Rhinolophus ferrumequinum: one gene and its partner. The protein of the gene in region 1 binds, or shares a complex with, the protein of each later gene. Links are inferred from orthologs where the notes say so. Each region holds a gene or a part of one and is shown on either strand. Other genes may lie near its edges.

Region 1 (8,120 bases):
TACACAACACATAGTATTGTACTGGAATAATAGGGCCAGATTGTGAGGGGAAAAAAAAACAAACCTTGATTTTCCTGCGATCTCTATAATACTTTTTTAGTTTGCAAAATGACTTTATGTATAACCATGGAAATTAGGTATTTTTAAAACTTTACTTTCCTATTTCCACATAGGGAAATAAGGTTTTGAGGATCAGTAGGTTGTCCACGTTCTCTACTCAAAGAAGAGCAAGGGGCAGTTTTCAAGTGTCAAGCTGTTAGGCTTGAAACCCAGTAGGCACTATGGCACAGCCTTTGCATCAGGGCTCAAAGTCTAATTGAATCTGGGTATTCACTCTGGGCTCTCAGGGGAGTGCTTTGCATATTGTGATGGCAGGGTTAAGCATGACCAGGGATCACAGTGAGAAGATGAGTATCTCTGTTTGCCACATGTATGCCAAGAGCGCTGGTTGGACAGGGCTTTGTCTTAGAAAACACTGATGGAAGTAGTTGTAGTTTCCCAAGTACTGAGACAATAAAGCTCTTTTGTTACAGAGTTTTTTACCCAGTATCATGACAAATTGAAAAATTTCCAGGGCCACATTCTAAATCTGTCTTGACTGGAGAATAGAAATATAAGTGACACTAGACCCATAAATAATAACTTCTTTGAGTTAAATTTCCATGTTTTGCCTGGAATTTGGATTGAAGTTTTATACAATACCATGTAATATGAAAAAAAGTTTCTATATTTGCTGTAAAAGTCTTTTTGAAGACATTGAGCTTTTAAGAGCCATTTATATAAGGGTCTGTGTAATAATATTAGCAATTAGTAATAGCAGCAACAACATTTTTTTCTAAGAACTGACTCATTTTCTAATATTAGATAATGATAATTAGGTAAAACATTTTCCCTTTTTTGTGTGTTTTCTAGTGAACTCATAACTAAATGTGTTCTGGTAGACCATAGATACTATATTAGTCACAATAATTTCTGTGTTTGTCACCTCCTCTTTCTTCATTGTTTTCATTTTCTATTTCCAATGACTTTCATATATAATTGCCTCATTCACATTTAGAAAGTAGGCTGATAAAGTTATTAAATAAAATCAGGTAAATTTATTAAATAAAAACAACCTCCATTTTGCAGTTGAGCAATCTGAGATATAGTGAAGGTTTTCCAAGCTCTACTTCATCAACACCAATGTCTTTTCAGTTTTCAAAACATGGTAAGTGTTCTCCTGTCTCTGAAGTTCCAGCTGTTATTCACTATGCCTGTAACCCCCTTCCTTTCTTCCCTCCCTCTGGTTAATCATCTCTTCTTACCCACAACCCACACAATACACAGACGATATTCTTTGCAAGTTGATTCTTTTGCATCTTTACTAAATATTACTGTCTCAGAGAGATTTTCTGACTGTCCTAAACAAACAAGATGCCTAGGGTCCTTCTTATGCTTTGCTGTTCTTTATAAGTTGTTCAATTCTTTACTGTACCTCACACCAGTTACAAGACATGTTAGTTAGTTTGTTGTTTGTGTGCCTCTTACTTGAATTTATTCCATTCACCATTGCATCCCCAACACCTAGCCATGCCTGATACATAGTAGTTTAATAAATATCTAATAAATGGCATGAATGAATCAATAAACATATATACACTCATACATACTTAATAACCATAGGTTTTCTAAAGTCAATACTATATTTATTTTATTCATCATTCTGTTGCAGTCTTTGTATTGTAACTGGCAGAGAGAGAGAGAGAAAGAAAGAGAGAGAGATGTTTGATGAGTATTTATTAAGTGAATGAAAAAATATTCCCTCAGAGAAATTATTTCAAAAAGCCATTTATAATCTGTTATTTGATGGGTTCAGATAACCACAGAGTTGCAAAACATTTAGAATTGCAATAATCCTTTTGGACTCTAGAATGTGAGCTAGCTAAGTTTAAGAAACACAAATGGAAAAACTGAATGTAAGAGGTGGGTAAGTGTACCCAGGTTGGAAAGAAGTGTTGTCTTTCAGTAGTCTTGCAAACCTCCTATAAATATTCACATGATTTACTGTCAGTGATAGCAAATAGGAAAATGAAGGTCAGCATGGAACATGTATACCTCTATTTTCTTAAGTATTTATTTAAACATTCAAATATATTTATTGAGTAGTTTCTATGTGCCAGAATTTTCTTCTGATTATTGAGAGTATATAGGTAAAATAAACAAAGATTTCTTTCCTTGAGGAGTTTACATTGTAATAAGAAGGAAGGGAAGAGACAGACAATAAATAATAATCATAACAAATTAATAAATTATTTAGTATATTAGACTGTAGTAAGAGATAACGGGGCAAACATAGAGCTGTATAAAGGGGATCAAGAAGAGCACTGAGATCATGAGGTGTAGTAGTTTACAGTAGGGTAGTCTGGGAAGGCCTCATTAGGGAGGTAAGATTTTAGCAAAGAATTTAAGGAAAGAAGTTAGCCCAGTGGTTATGTGGGAACAGAGCATTCCAAGCAGAAGAAACAGCTAATGCAAAGACCACTAAATTGAAGCATGTCAGGCATGTTTAAGAAATAGCAAGGGAGTCTTGGTGGCTGAAGTAGAATGAGCAAAGGGGGAGAGTACTAGGAAATGAGGTCAGAAAGGTAATGGAGTGGAGACAGATTATGAAGCATAATAGGAAAGACTTGGGCTTTGACTGAGTGAAATGGAAAGTTATTGGAGGGTTTTGATTTAAGTTAACTTCTTGCAAAGTACACGCTGGCTGCTGTATTGAATATAACCTGTAAAGAAAAAGTAAAGAAGCTGAAAGACTTGTTGGAAGCTATTGCTGTAACCAGGTAAAAGATGATGGTGGCTCGATTCAACATGGTATCTGTGAAGGTGATTAGAAGTGGTAGGATTCTGGAGATATTTTGAAGGTAGATTCAAGAGGATGTCCTGACAAATTGTCATGTGTGAGAGAAAGAGAGGAACTGATGAAAATTCCAAATTTTAAACTAATCAATTATAAATATAAATGACTCTTTTCATTCATTTTTACTATTCTACACAAGAATTACAATATTTTGCTTATTGATAGCTCATCCTAAGGCAAAAGTCATACCCTTGAGCAATTTACAATTAGTACTTATTTTGGGAACTTAAAACATTGTTTCTATACTCCTTTTAATTTTAATTTTACCTAATTCAGCACTTTACAGTTAAGAGGTAAAGCAATATTGTAAAATGTCACTGAACAATTTAAGATTACATAATTTTGTTTTTCTTCTTATCTGAAAATATCACTACGGTTCAACATTGGGAATGTCCTTTACATTTTAGCTTTTAGAGCACAGGAAGTATCTTGGTAAACAATAAATTACCTTTATGGAGTGCTTTATCATTTCTGACAGGCTTTGACATGTCTTATCTCATCCAAGCTTCTCCATAACCCTGGGAGACAGCAGGGAACAAAATACTTGTAGGAAATTGAAGAGTTTAAGTGACTGAGTGTTCACCATTAGAACCCTTTTTACCTGAGCTCAGCTCACACACGTTGTGTACTTTGAGCCCATTCCAACTGATGAAGAAGGATGGGGAACTCGGTGTGTCCTATGTTCACTCAAAGCTAAGTGTCCCAGACAAGGATCAAATCTATGACCTCATCCTCAATGCCGATGCTCCAGCAAATTGGGCTAGCAAACCATTATACATATCAGATTTAATTACATCTCCAGAATCACCTGGTCATTAGTTACTGTTAATTTTCCTCAGAACGCTCTCACTTTTTTTTTTTTTTTTTTTTTTTTGTATTTTCTCATTTATACCATCTTTCTCATCTTTCTTATTCAGGAAGATCAACCACAGCTTTTCTGGCCTCTCTACAAAGCTTGCTTTGTGGATTGTAATCAAAGAATTTCAAAAATGAATGCCACCATCAGAGTACACATGAAAATGTGCCATTGTAATAATCAACAAGGTGTGGTAGATACATATCTTTTTCCTTTTTCTTGTTGAATCCTGAAGTTATCAAGGAACTTGCCTTGTTTTCAAGGGTCTGGTGGGAAAGGTACATTAGTAGTTTATGTATCAGGACCAACCCCCTCGACTTCAGTGTCTTCATTTTTAATATTTCATCCAATTGCTGCAATATTTGGCTCCCAAAATTCAGCTAAGGAAATATAGTGGGAATTATCATATCACTACAATGTCTTTCTTTTCTTTAAATTAAGTCATGCAATTAATTTACACCAATCTCTTTTGCAGAAGCAGAAATTAAGTGCTTTGGGAATTGAAAGATAACCTCAGCATTTTTTTTTACAGTCTTGGTGAGTTATAGGGATGATGGGGGAAGGGAAGCAAAGTCATCTGAGGAAGTAAAAGATATTTAACTGCTTTGAAGGAAGAAATTTTAATGGATGTAGAAAGAATCATTTGTAAGAAGGGCAGACATGCAAAATGGCATTATTAATAAGTCGTACCATTAAAGAGACCGTTCTTTCTAACCACTCACACCTCTGAATCATTTTGGGGTTCCCTGACTTCCTGGTTCTCCCTACCCTCCAGCAGTGACGCCCCTTTTCCCAATCACTTAAGTGCCATCGGCAGAGAGAGGCTTATCATCTACCTGCTCCCCCAGCTGCTCTGAGTGACATACCACCCACGCCTCCCCACACAGCTCTTCTCTTTCGGCGGCTCCAGGAGGGAAGCTGAGGAGCTGCAGAGGGAACCTGAGGCTACCCTCTTCAGCACGCCGAGACTATGAAGCTTCAGGACACTTGTCACCCACCGAGTCGGTACCCTGGAGGGCCGACCGCCCCCCGCCGCGCGCTGCAGGAGTAGGCGCTGCGCTTCCAGCTGCGGCTGCCAGAGTGCGGCACGTGCTCCCAGCGCTGGCGCGGGAGAGCGAGCGCCACCGCCGCGGGCCCGGAGCCGCTCCGCCCGCTGCTACCGCTGCCTCCATCGCCACCGCTAGCGCTCCCGCCGCAGCCAAGGCCGCTAAAGGAGCGCAGGAAGCCCGCGAGGAGCGGCTGGCTGGGGGCGCCCGGCTCAGGGCGCGCACCTGGTAAGCACGGCGCGTTTTTCTTTCTTTCAGCTCTAGAATCAACACGCATGTAGGGATACGGCCGGAGCCCCTCCCCCAGCACAAGGCTGGACAGCATTCAGGCAAGGGGCGGGAGCTTGAGCGAAGGGACCCAGGAGGGCAGGTGGTGGGCAGGTGGAGAACTGGTGGAGCCAGGGACGCTGCGAGGTCCTGCAAGTTTAGAAAAGTCACCCTGCAAGGACATGTGCTGTGTGAATCAGACATGAATTTCTAGTCAGAAGACCAGGCTACAACGGCATTGCTCCAATGAAAGGTTTATGAAGATGATTTTGCTTTTACTTGCATAAGTGAGGGATTTAAGTGGGCTCGTTTCCATAGAAAACGAACTAAAAAAAAAATCAGAGATCTGAGCCAAAGGAGGTGTTTGCACCTCTCTCTCTCTCTCTCTCTCTCTCTCTCTCTCTCTCTCTCTCTCTCTCTCTCTCTCATCCAGGCATGTGCACAAGGGGTGCATTTATGTAGGGAGAGGGCTTCTCTCTATTCGAGGTCATTAGGTGTTTGGGGAGCTATAAAAGCCTCTGCTGTTGCTTCACCCGAAAAAGAGGCAGCAAAAGAAGGGACCGTGTTGGGTATGAATGCCAGTGTTCCATTTCTAATATGACACTTCCATGACTACACGAACAGGAAGGAGAGGTTTTCTAGAACAGGGGGCCATTTTAAGGGGTTACACATGCCACTCTGGACCTATAAGCTCAAGTTCATGTCCTCCCACTGGGGCTAGGAAGACATCTTTCGGTTCCTTTATGGAACTTTGGCAAAGGATGAGGTTAGAGTAAGGGCTGTGAGGAGAGAGAGGGAAGAGAAGGGAACTGAATGGGACTGAATGGGCTGTGTGGGGAGGTAAAAGGAGCAGGAGCCTGGAAGTCAGGCGTGGCATCACTGTGTTCATTCAGTTCCACCCTGAGTAGCCCCTGAGTTGGTCTCTAGGGAAACGTGTGACCTTGAAAGAGTTCCTTAACCTCTGTGTTTCTCCATGTGAAAAATGTAGAGGTTCTTCTGTGTTTTGGGACACTAAGGTCCCATGCAATAGTGTCTATGATTGTATGGGTTTGCGTATCTGCATACAAGGACGGAAGAGCACCCAGAAAATCCAGAAAAAGGAAGCTTCAGGGCATTTTTCCTCAAAGTAGCAAAGGCATTTGCAGGCTCCTGGCTGTCCTGTTGTTGTAATGCATGCGGAGAGGTCTGTAGAAACGGGCAACAGGACAATCAGAAACGCAGGCTATAGCCATGGGAGCCGGAGTGCTGAGTGCCATTTGGAGAGGTTCAGGTCCGCGGAGACTAAAGTCACATGCTTTTTTTAAGGTAGCAATTATAGGAGAATTGGTCGCAAGCTATGAAGTTCTTTCAATTTGAGCATTTGGGAAATAATCTGGAATTGATTCTAACACACACACACACACACACACACACACACACAATGAATGGCATCCCATTTTAAAGGTTGGGCACTCAGTATGGCAGGAAGAAGGTTTTAGAGTGAGATCTGAGAATACTGTAATCTGGGCAGAGGGGTTGGAGGGAGAAGGAAATGGATATCCTTCCTGAGACTAGGGTTCCTAGATTCCTAGGAGGCAACTGGCATCTGTCCAGTGTCCTTGACATCTCTGCCACTTGTCTGAAGAAGGCACAGGTATCACTTCTCCCTCAATACAAGCTCATTCTTAGAACTTAGGGATCTCCTTTCCAGGTGCTGAGATATGAAGGTGCACATAGGAAAACTGAAGTCCTAGGGGTGCTTCCTGCAGTCCCCCACCATATGAGCATCTGGCCTTGGAGCTGGTTTACCTATCCAGATTGACCCAAAGTCTGTGTTCCTAAAGCAACTCACTGTGCCACTTGGTGGCACCAAAAAGTTGCGCTGAGAACTCTGTTCTCTATAAATACAAACTACCACCCCTCCCGCCTCCGCACTCTCCCCTTCCCCCCTTCTCCCCTTTCTCAGTAGCAGGGAGATTGCTGCACAAGCCGCCCTCAGCTCTGCTGTTCTTCGAGCACTGAGAGCAGGAGATGAGCTTAAGATCATCTTTGGGGGGTAGCCCAGGACTGGAGAGGCCGGCTCTGCCCAGCTGATCCACACAGCCCAACTTTAAGGGGGGCTAGCTAGACCGTGTCTCACTGCCTGCTGCGCGGCCAACAGGGGGGTAAGCTTGCTAAGCGTCTGTGTGCCTAAGTGTCCCTGGCTGGGAAGGATGTAGGAGCTCTCAACTTGCTGGGTAGCTCACAGTTTGGTTTGGGGAGGGGGATGAGGGTGGAGCAGGGGGTGGACAGAACCTCCAGATTGAAGTCTGCTCCATTTGCTGGTGGCCTTAATTAAACCTGTTGGGAGTAAAAGCGAGAGCAATGGGTAAAGGAAGGAACAGCTGCCAAGGTTGAGAAAGGGACTCTGCATGCCTTCAGATCTGAGTTCCCGCTCCCTAAAGCCAGGTACGTGTGTTTAGAATGCAGACTGTGCTTCCCCAAACCACCCGAGGGCTCAGAATTGAGAGAAGAACAGGTAGAGAGGGAAAGGAAGGAGAGTTGCTTCCCAATAGCTCGGTTAGCTGCAGCGACCCGAGCTCTTGCTACAGGAAGAGGGGGACAGCGGGTGGTGCTGAAAGCACAGCTCTTTCAAACAGGCTAGCTTGCCTCTTTCTAAACCTCAGTCTGCGCCCTCCCGCTCTTTCTTTCTTCCCCTTCTAACACAAAGCCTGCTAGTTTCCCCGGAGCGGCACCATGAGCAGCATGGTGAGGAGGGAGCCCAGGAAACAGTGACTTGGGGAAAGAACCCAGGGCAGGCCCGCGAGCTAGCCGGTGACCAGAGCCTAACCTGCACTTGGAACCTCACCAATGTACTTGAAAAGTCTACCTGGGGGTTCTTGGAACCGGTGCTGGAATTTCCCACTGCTCCCATTTCCCTCCAGAGCAGGTGCTGTGGGGAAGGGAAATTGAGGCAAGGTTAAGGAGCACTTGTGCTTATTTAGGCACAATCTTGGTACAGCCTCAGCTGAACTGTAAGCTTGAGCAGCCAGGCAGATAGATTCTCAGCATTTTACATCCCGCTAAGAAATTGACA
Region 2 (8,923 bases), on another chromosome or scaffold:
CCAGATGGCAATGTGAAAGGCTAGAAAGAACCTGGCCCCTAATGACACCTTGGACCGTCCAAAACAACTGTAGGACCACCTTCCTACAGACTTCTGGTTAAGTAAATAAGCAAATAAAAATCAGTCTTATAGCTTAAGTCACCATTAGGTGGGGTTTCTGTTCCTTGCAGTTGTGACACCAACTTACACACTAGTAATGGGAGGGTGGGGGGTGATAATCAAGGTAAGAAAGGATCTCAGGTGCCCATCAAGCTGTGCCTCTTAGGCCAAGGCGTGGAGTTTGGATTTTATTCTAAGGATAAGGCATTTTAGCAGATGATCCAGTCAACACAGGTATATAATATAGACCTATCTATCTCTATTTACATGTATGTCTATATACGTATTTATTATGTATATGATAAAATATAATTCATCATTAAAATAATAGAATAGATATTAACTAAAGATATATTTACCATTGCTATTTTAAGTTTTAGATAAATTATTATTTAGAACCAGATTAAAAAAATAAAAAGCCTCACGAATAACTCATCAAATATCTTGGCTGAAACTCCCAAATGTTAGTAATTTTTATTTATTCTGACATCTTATGTTTGGGAGAACCTTTAATACAGTTTCTAGATATTGCATCTGCTCGCTTTAGCTATTTCAGAGTCTTTACCAATTATGTTCTGCTTCAGAGAGTTTCCAATTGCCATCTTAAACCCCCATCTCTCTTTGAAATAGTCTAAATTTTTTTGCCCCGGCCTTATCTCTTTGATAAGAAGGCAACTTCCTTTCATAAGCATAGCTGTCCTAAATACCTTGGGTGTTGTTTTCTTCCTAGCTGGCACCAAAGGAATGACAAAATAAGGTAGCTAATTTAAAATATTTTCCTCATGGCTGTTCTGTTCCTCCATTCAGGAAAAAGATTACTGGTTACCATGGCAATCAGCTTCCACAGCATTCCATTCTAAGTAACGGCACAGGTATAGCCCAAGCTTTACTCCACGTTCTTTACTGTAGCTCTCTGCAGATCTGCATCTTTTACAGCCTGTTCTCTGCAACTGCTGTTTAGAACAATCAACCAACCAACCAAACAGCCTGCAGTTAAGCCAGATAATTATTTCAAAGGAACCATATCCCCATCTTTTCTGAATGTTTAACAAACTTACATATGTAGTTGTACAATAATTTTCTCACAGCACCAACTGAAAACTTTCTGGTATGTTCTTTCATAAGTCTGAGATTATATTTGTATCTCTTTAATGACCATATTTAGAAAACAATGAATTTACAGTAAAAATCAGAGCAAGAGATCAGAGCAAGATAGTCCTATGAGATCATTTCCCATGCACTCTACATCATATCGTTCCTGAGGACATTTTCTAACTTCCCTCCGTCCATCATTCCCAAACCCTTTGATGAAACAGTGCACACATTCAGAAGAGTAAAATTTGTCCTCGAGTCATTGTCTTGGAGATGCCAAACACTTATACTTCCACCCTTAAGACTATTAACTACTCTGTTTCTGTTCAGAACATTAAAGATAATAATAAAAGATGGTTTTGAACAGGCCAAAAACATTTTACTGGCACCCAATATCTGCTATATTGTGGAGGAGGTGGGATGACTTTGGAGAATTAACTGGATAAATTCTGTTTCCCTACCACTCTTTCTTTTTTTTTTTTTTAATCATTACTTTCAGTCTTTGCTAGGAAAGACTAAAACTTCATAACTAGAAATCTTAAGATTTCTATTGTATGTAGAGATATCTTTTATTTCTACCTTTACTTGAAGCAGTAGTGGAATTTTGGTCATTAAAAAGAGGGAACTTGGAAGGGAGTTGCTATCATCTAATGCTAAGCAATTAAAAATAAAATGTGGCTTTAACCCTCTTCCTTGCAAAGTTTTTCTATCTCCTAAATGTCTTTTCATTGAAAAAGACATATCTCATGACCAATCTATGAACATCCATTGAATACTGCCATCTCCTATTAAGGGCATGGAAGTAAACTCTGTAACTAAAACAGATGCCTCCAGCCCACAGATTCTAAAATCAGAGGGTATTCATGAACCTCTCCACAAATTTTCAGAGTGTAGTGGGAAACAGGAACTGTGAAAAATTTGAAACTCTGCTAAAGTACTTTCTTCCTCTTCCAGAAAAAGAAAATACATCACTTTCTAGAAAGTTCACTACTTTAAAACACATACAATTAGGGTTAGAAATTCATGGCTAGCATTTGGGTTACAGCAGCTCAGTTTTAGGAGAAAAGATATTTAATTTTCATGGAAAGCCATAGACTGGTTCTCTGACTCCTCTCAAAATTGTATTAGAATTGTTTAAGGAGGAGAAAGGGGCATTTACTTTATTATTTTTTTATGGGAAGATATTCAATGAAACATAAAATGTCTTATTCCTTTGGGTACATATGTATTCCCTGATATACTAAACCCACACAAACTAGAAAGAAACATTGACCAATTATTGGCAGAATTTTCTAGAGTAAAAGCAGGAGCTGAAGTTAAATAATCGCATAAACTTTGAGTAATTCTATCACAATGCACCATTAGATTTATATAGAAAAAGGTTGCTCTCAATTTTCAGTTGACAAAAGAGCAGTTGAGAAGAGGTCATATAGCTTTGAAAGGTAGAAACCCTAATGAAGGGTCAGCATTCTGAAAGCACGGATGCAGTTGATATGCTGTTTTGACAGTTGGGTAAAGATGAGGGGGAATAAGATTGTAAACCAGGAGGAGTCATGATAAAAGGGGAGAATGAAGTGTTTGATAATGACAAAGTGAGAGCTTGACTTAACATGGACAGAAAGAGCAGGAAAGAGAAAAGTAATTTAGTTCAGATAGGAAATAATTTGTAGAGAAATTTTAGTAGAGTAATAACTTAATTTTTATTTTAATTTGCAAGGGCCAAGGGATGACATTATTTGAAGAATGACAGTTTTATTGTTTTAATATTTTATACATAAGAAGCTCCATTTATCTGAAATATAATTTAGTACAAGTTTTTACTAACATGACAATATATATTAAATAAATTGTCAAGCAGGAGTTTGCTTTTGAATAACCTTTGTTATAACCCTAAAAAACAAACACAAAAAGCAAAAAACAAAACTACTTTTTTTTAAGACTTTAAATTTTTTTTTTATTTTTATTGGGGAATATTGGGGAACAGTGTGTTTCTCCAGGGCCCATCAGCTCCAAGTGGTTGTCCTTCAATCTAGTTGTGGAGGGCGCAGCTCAGCTCCAAGACCAGTCACCATTTTCAGTCTGGTTGTATGGGGCGCAGCCCACCATTCCATTTTCAATCTAGTTGCAGGGGGTGCAACCCACCATCCCATGTGGGAATTGAACCGTCAATCTTGTTGTTGAGAGCTCTGTGCTCTTAACCAACGGAGCCATCTGGCAGCCCCTCCGGAAGCTCAGTGTCAGCTTGTTGTCTTTAATCTAGTTGTGGAGGGCATAGCTCACTGGTCCATGTGGGAATCCAACCAGCAACCCTGTTGTTCAGCGCTCGTGCTCTAACCAACTGAGCCATCCAGCCGTCCCAAAACTACTTTCACTATTTCAAATTATAAGCGAGATCATGATTTTATAATGTGAAGATAACCAGAAAGCCTGATTTAGTTACAAATTGGTCCTATTTTGGCTGGTGTCCTTTAATATTGGGCTCCTAACTTGATCAAGAAAATGTAGATGCAGAAAGCTATAAAACCAATATTCCTTAATTGGGAATCATGTCAGTAGTTTGATATTAAAAACCATTTTTTAAAAAGCCACACAGGGTATAAATTCTGTAGCGTTTTAATTTCTTTTATTTAAACTGCATTGGTATCCATTTATAGCTCTTCTAACAATCAGTTTATATGTTGGTAATCCTATGCCCTGGATTTTCAAGGTTACTTCAGATTTCAAATATTTTGTCTATTGTCAAATGATGTGTCTGGGTTTGGACAATGTGGTCACTGAATTTATAGACTAACTCTGAAATAGCAATGGCCTTTGGCATTATGTAGTAATTCTATTTCTGGGTCATGACTATCAAATTAAATCAAATCAAAGTTGATTAGTTAAGTCTACCTAACAAACTATCAAAGTAATGACAATTTAAGATTTTGTAGTAATTTGTAACTTGAGAAGCATTTGTTATATTATTTATTATACACACACAACTAGTAAACTTATAAGTGGCTTATAAGAAATGAAATATAGGAAATGAAAAACACATACTTAAGAGGTACTTTAATGATATATTCTACGGCCAAAACTAAGGAAGACAAAAATAATCTAAATGTGCTTGTGTTACTGTTGAAAAGAATTTGGTGATCTTAGTTTTAATTTCCATAGACTGGAACTTATATTCTTGATAAACCAGAATTTAAAGGGTATACTGGCATCTATAACGATAATTATGAGTGAACTTTCTAAGTTAGGATTGACTTATTATCCTATGCCAGAAGTTTGCTGTTGTGCAAATGTAAACACTGAGATCATTTGATGGCCTTCTCCCCCTTCCCCTTGGGTTACTATCTTTTGTAACATTATAACATTTGCTGATGATTCTGCTCTTTATTCTTTTCGTGATTTAAGTATCAGTAAGCTGGCGGGGGGGAGGGGTGTTTTAAAATCAACTATGTCCAGAAGGGCATTTAATAACTTTAGAAAATTATGGTGATTTTTCCCAAGTTTTGTTGGGAATATATCTAGCACTGGTGATCAGGCTTTCCTCCCACATTTCCGTGCTAGTTGGAACTTGAAAAGCCTGGGGATGCTTCTGCAACAGAGGTGGGAGTGGGAGATAGGATATCACCCGCTTGACACTTCGGTACCGTTGCTATGAATGATTCACTCGCGTTTGGCACATTTGTTGCGAGGAAATCGCCGCCGCCGCTTCCTTCTCCAAGCTCCTTTCAGGCTGTCTCCTGTGCTTTGGCCTTTAAGGATAAGCGAGAGCAGGTGGGTACAGAGGAGCTCGCCGAGTCCTCCTCCCCCTGCTCCTTCCCTAATTTAGCAGTACTTCCGGCCGCGTGACATCATCCCCCGCACCCCGGTGACGTGAGCGGCGGGTGACGAGTGTGCGGAGAAGAGCGCGCTGACGTTGCTATTTAAAGGTCCTCCTGCGGGGAGGATGGAGACACAGCGCGAGCACCTGGTGTGGGGTGCGGAGGAGGCTGTGGCGGCCGGGAGCGGGGCCAGGAGCCAGCGGAGCAGCAGAGCGCACAGTGCTCCCGCCGCCAGCCACTAGGGGAGGGGGTTAGGAAGGACGGACTGACGGACCTGCCGGCCCGACTAGCTCCCCACGCGGGCCGGCTCGGCTGCTGAGCACCAGCCTTCCCGCCGTCCTCGCGGCTGCTGCCTCCTCCTGCTGCACGCAGGGCCCCTCCGGCCTCTCGGGACTGTCAGCGACCCAGCCCCCGGCGCCCGGCCGCGTCTCCGCGGCATCGGCTGCCTCCCGCCCTCTCCCGCGAGCAGGGGGAGGGACAGCTCTCGCCCCCCGTTCTCCCCGCCCCGTCCCCCACCCCCACCCCCCCGCAGCCAGCTCTGCCGCCGCGATCGGCTCACGCGGGCGGCGCTGACCCGGGAACGGGCGCCCTCCGCTCTGCGAGCGGCCGGTGAAGGCGGAGGCAGCAGCGGGCTTCAGGGCCACCCGGGTCGGCGCTGCTCTGCTGAGCGGGAGCTGGAGACCGGCGGAGGCGGGCGGTGATGGAAGTGTGAGGAGGCGGCGCGTGGCGGCGGCGCGGAGCGTGAGAGGCGAGGAGCAGGGGTGGGGGCACCGGAGCAGCCGCTCTCCGGCGGCTTCGAGGCCGGCTCCCCTGCTCCCGACGTGGAATTAGCGCCCGTCGATCCTTCAGCCCAGTCCTCCCCTGCTCGGCCCGCCCCGGAGCGGGGCGCAGGGTGCCGGGGGCGGCGTGGAGCTTGGCTCTCTGATTCATTCATTCTCCGCCGACCTGCGGTGCTCGGAAGAGAGGAGGGAAGAGGGGGCAGCGGCGAATGAAGGGCCAGGCGCGATCCGGGCTCCATTGTGCTCGGCGGCGGGGGGCGGGAAGGGGCTGAGGGAGGTGGGATCGGGCCCCCTCCCTCTGCTCTCTTGTGTGCGCTGCGCCCCCAGCCTGCTGCCAGCCTGGAAATGGCTCCGTTTATTCTCGGGAGAATGAATCGATCCTGCCCAGCCTTCTCTTCTTCCTCCCCACCTCCTCTCTGCTTCGAGTCTTAAGAGAGGAGAAATTTAAGACAGATTCCAATGTGGAGTGCCGTGCACGTCGCGAGCTGCCGGGTTTGCACTTGGAGGAGATTTTTCTATATAGCTTTTTCTAATGTGAGCGCAGGGAAGCAGAAGCATTACTGCTTTTAGGATTTTTATTTTCTCTTAGGGATCTCTCAAGTGCACGTCGCATTGGGTTGCACGCTCCACCCCCAGGGACCTGGTGTGGTAGAGAAATTTGAACCTGCAGCCTTAGCACCGAAAAGACCGAGTTACCTGGCTCTCTGACTGTGGAGGAGGACGTGAGCGAAATGAACACGGAACTCTTTTTGTAGGATTCGGTGAAGCTGGATTCTGCGTTTTCCAACTCATAGACTCATTTTGTGGAATAGGGTTGACCGCTGTCTTCTCCGCGCAGCATTTTAACTCAAAAGCAAATGCCACCTTTGTTTGAACGTTTTGGTATTTACGAGAGAGAAATCATTTTACCTAAGAGAACTAATTGAATTGCCACATACCTCCAGAAAAGGACCTCGGGGGGTGGAAAAGCAACTGCGAAATAGCAGACGGAGAAATTCCTTTGGAAGTTCTATTCCGTAGCATAAGAGCAGAAACTTCAGAGCAAGTTTTCACTGGGCAAAATGGGGTAAGGATTTTTGTGCTTAACACAGCTCCGAATCTGTGTATGTGTGTGTGTCTGTGTGTGTTATTGATCAGTGGTGGATTGGAGATTGTCTGTGTTTTATGTTTTCAAATTTGCCACCTTGCTAAGCTGGCCATACTTTAAAAGTATAGGTGTGTTAACCTTTTAACATTTTTTTTTTTTGTAGAGTGATACCGGAGGTCATAGTTAAGAAACAAACATAGTAATATTTTAGAAGTAATGATTAAGAAGACAACACACTTGTGTTTTACTGTTCCAACTGCCGCATCAGTTTGTAATCAAAATCATGTTGTCTTAGGTTTTGTTGCCGGTGTCTTTCAGAGAAGTACTTACAGTACTGCATTCTCTTAGTGCTTTGAGAATAATCAATCAGTTGCACAAAGAAACAATTGTAAACTAATGAGTGGTTAGACTACAGTACTTGAAAATGAGCCAATGTAAATTGTTGCCCTCTTTGCCCTCTGCTTTGCCCTTGAGTAGCCAAAGCTAAAAAGTGCAGAATTGATTTATTGGGGCATTAAAACGAAAATCTGAAAGTCTTACTGATGTGGCCTCCACAGGGCGGGTGCACTTGGTAGATCAGAGCTTGAACAGGAAAGAGCTTTTTATTAAAGGAATGTGTTCACTTCTATTTTTTGCTTTTAAGCTCGGGTCTTCAATTTGTGTTAACAGTGTCAGCTCTTCACCTTCTTTCAGATCCAAAGTCAACCAAGAGTGCATTTTCCAACCTTTTATTAACTCTTCACACAGTAACTTGATAAAATGTTAGTGACTTCCTAATTTAAGTCAGAAACCCATAATTTATTAATGGAGTAATGATCTAGTCATTTCACTTACAGATTATTGATGCTTTTTGTCAAAGAGGAACTTCCAGATTTCCTCACCCACCTTCCCTATTTTTGTGGTGGTTGAACAAACATATCTAAAGTACAGTTAAGGGATGGTGATTGAAAGTATGTGCTTTTAAAATCATTGTGACAGTTTAGGGGTGTGCACCTCTAAACTTATTTTCTTGAAACTTTCAGAGGAAAGTTCTTAGATAGTAGTACCTTTATTTGTTGGAGTTAGAATTTGAAGTTTATTAAATGGAACAAGTTTGAAAATGTAGAACATATGTAGGAGTCCTTCATCAGGAATTAATTAAAAAAAACAGTAATTTTAAAATTTAAATGACAACTGATGAGAACATATGTAACTTGGATGATTTAGGGTACTATTAAAAGCAATTAAAATACCTCATTCTATTTCTAGTGCTGTTACTAGTAGCTTTGTGGTCTGAGGCAAATTACTTAACCTCCACAGACTTGTTTTCTTATCTGTAAAATGAAGGACTTGGATGAATTAAAAGTTTTTTTTTTCCAGTCTATAAAAGTGAATTGTTTTCTTTTTCTCCTTTCTTTTTTAGTGATTACTAATTGGTTTCTTGAAGTAAATCTTTCAGATGGAGAGATTGTTTTCTCTAAGCAGCTTTTAAGCGCGCAAGCTGGAAAACAATGACATTTGGAAAATGTTTTGGATGAATTGCACCAATTTTAGTAAGAGAAAATACTGAAAAATACTATTATTCAAAACAATTGAAGTATGGCTTCTCTTGAGAATCTGCAGCTCTTCTGTTTAAAACATTTCAGAGGAAAAAATAATTGGCAGTTTTTCATGTGGAAGGCTGCATTTTCTAGTCTGTGGAGTGGTAGTATCATGGAAGAAAATTGGTTTTCCACAGCCTTTAAGTTGCATGAATCCTCATCATTTTACCAAGGGAAATTTGGGATGAACTTAATACTAAGGTGACCGTATTTAATATATGCAAATAGACCCCACACATAGCATATATTTTAGATACATCGGTGTAATTAAATTTCTTTATAAAACATTTTATTTGCCCTTTTCTTAATAAAGTCTTAAAGGTGGACTGGAGAGGAAAAGGAGTGTTTATGGCATTATTTTTCTGAAAGCGTATATTTGGGGTATGACTCTCATTGATAGTGACTTGTTTCGGCTGAGTTGTCAAGAGGGGATGGATAGGTGGAAGTAGAAGGGAAGAGCATGTAGAGAAGGCA

Evidence for each region.
Region 2: the proteins of GRM5 (region 1) and HOMER1 are in contact, whole or in part, in a crystal structure (PDB 1DDV), measured with the Rattus norvegicus proteins. The link is inferred for Rhinolophus ferrumequinum from reciprocal best matches to the Homo sapiens genes GRM5 and HOMER1. Residues at the interface, in XP_006229721.1 of Rattus norvegicus: Thr1155, Pro1156, Pro1157, Phe1160; in NP_113895.1 of Rattus norvegicus: His12, Phe14, Trp24, Thr70, Ser71, Gln72, Lys73, Phe74, Gly89, Phe90.

The regions. Positions count from the first base shown.
Region 1 is NC_046294.1:61,185,106-61,193,225, reverse strand, and holds the start of GRM5 (metabotropic glutamate receptor 5), read left to right. Parts: upstream 1-4,670; 5' UTR 4,671-5,026; intron 5,027-7,021; exon of another isoform or gene 7,022-7,209; intron 7,210-8,120. UniProt on the Homo sapiens protein: G-protein coupled receptor for glutamate. Ligand binding causes a conformation change that triggers signaling via guanine nucleotide-binding proteins (G proteins) and modulates the activity of down-stream effectors.
Region 2 is NC_046290.1:51,146,679-51,155,601, reverse strand, and holds the start of HOMER1 (homer protein homolog 1), read left to right. Parts: upstream 1-5,560; 5' UTR 5,561-6,843; coding exon 6,844-6,848; intron 6,849-8,923. UniProt on the Homo sapiens protein: Postsynaptic density scaffolding protein. Binds and cross-links cytoplasmic regions of GRM1, GRM5, ITPR1, DNM3, RYR1, RYR2, SHANK1 and SHANK3.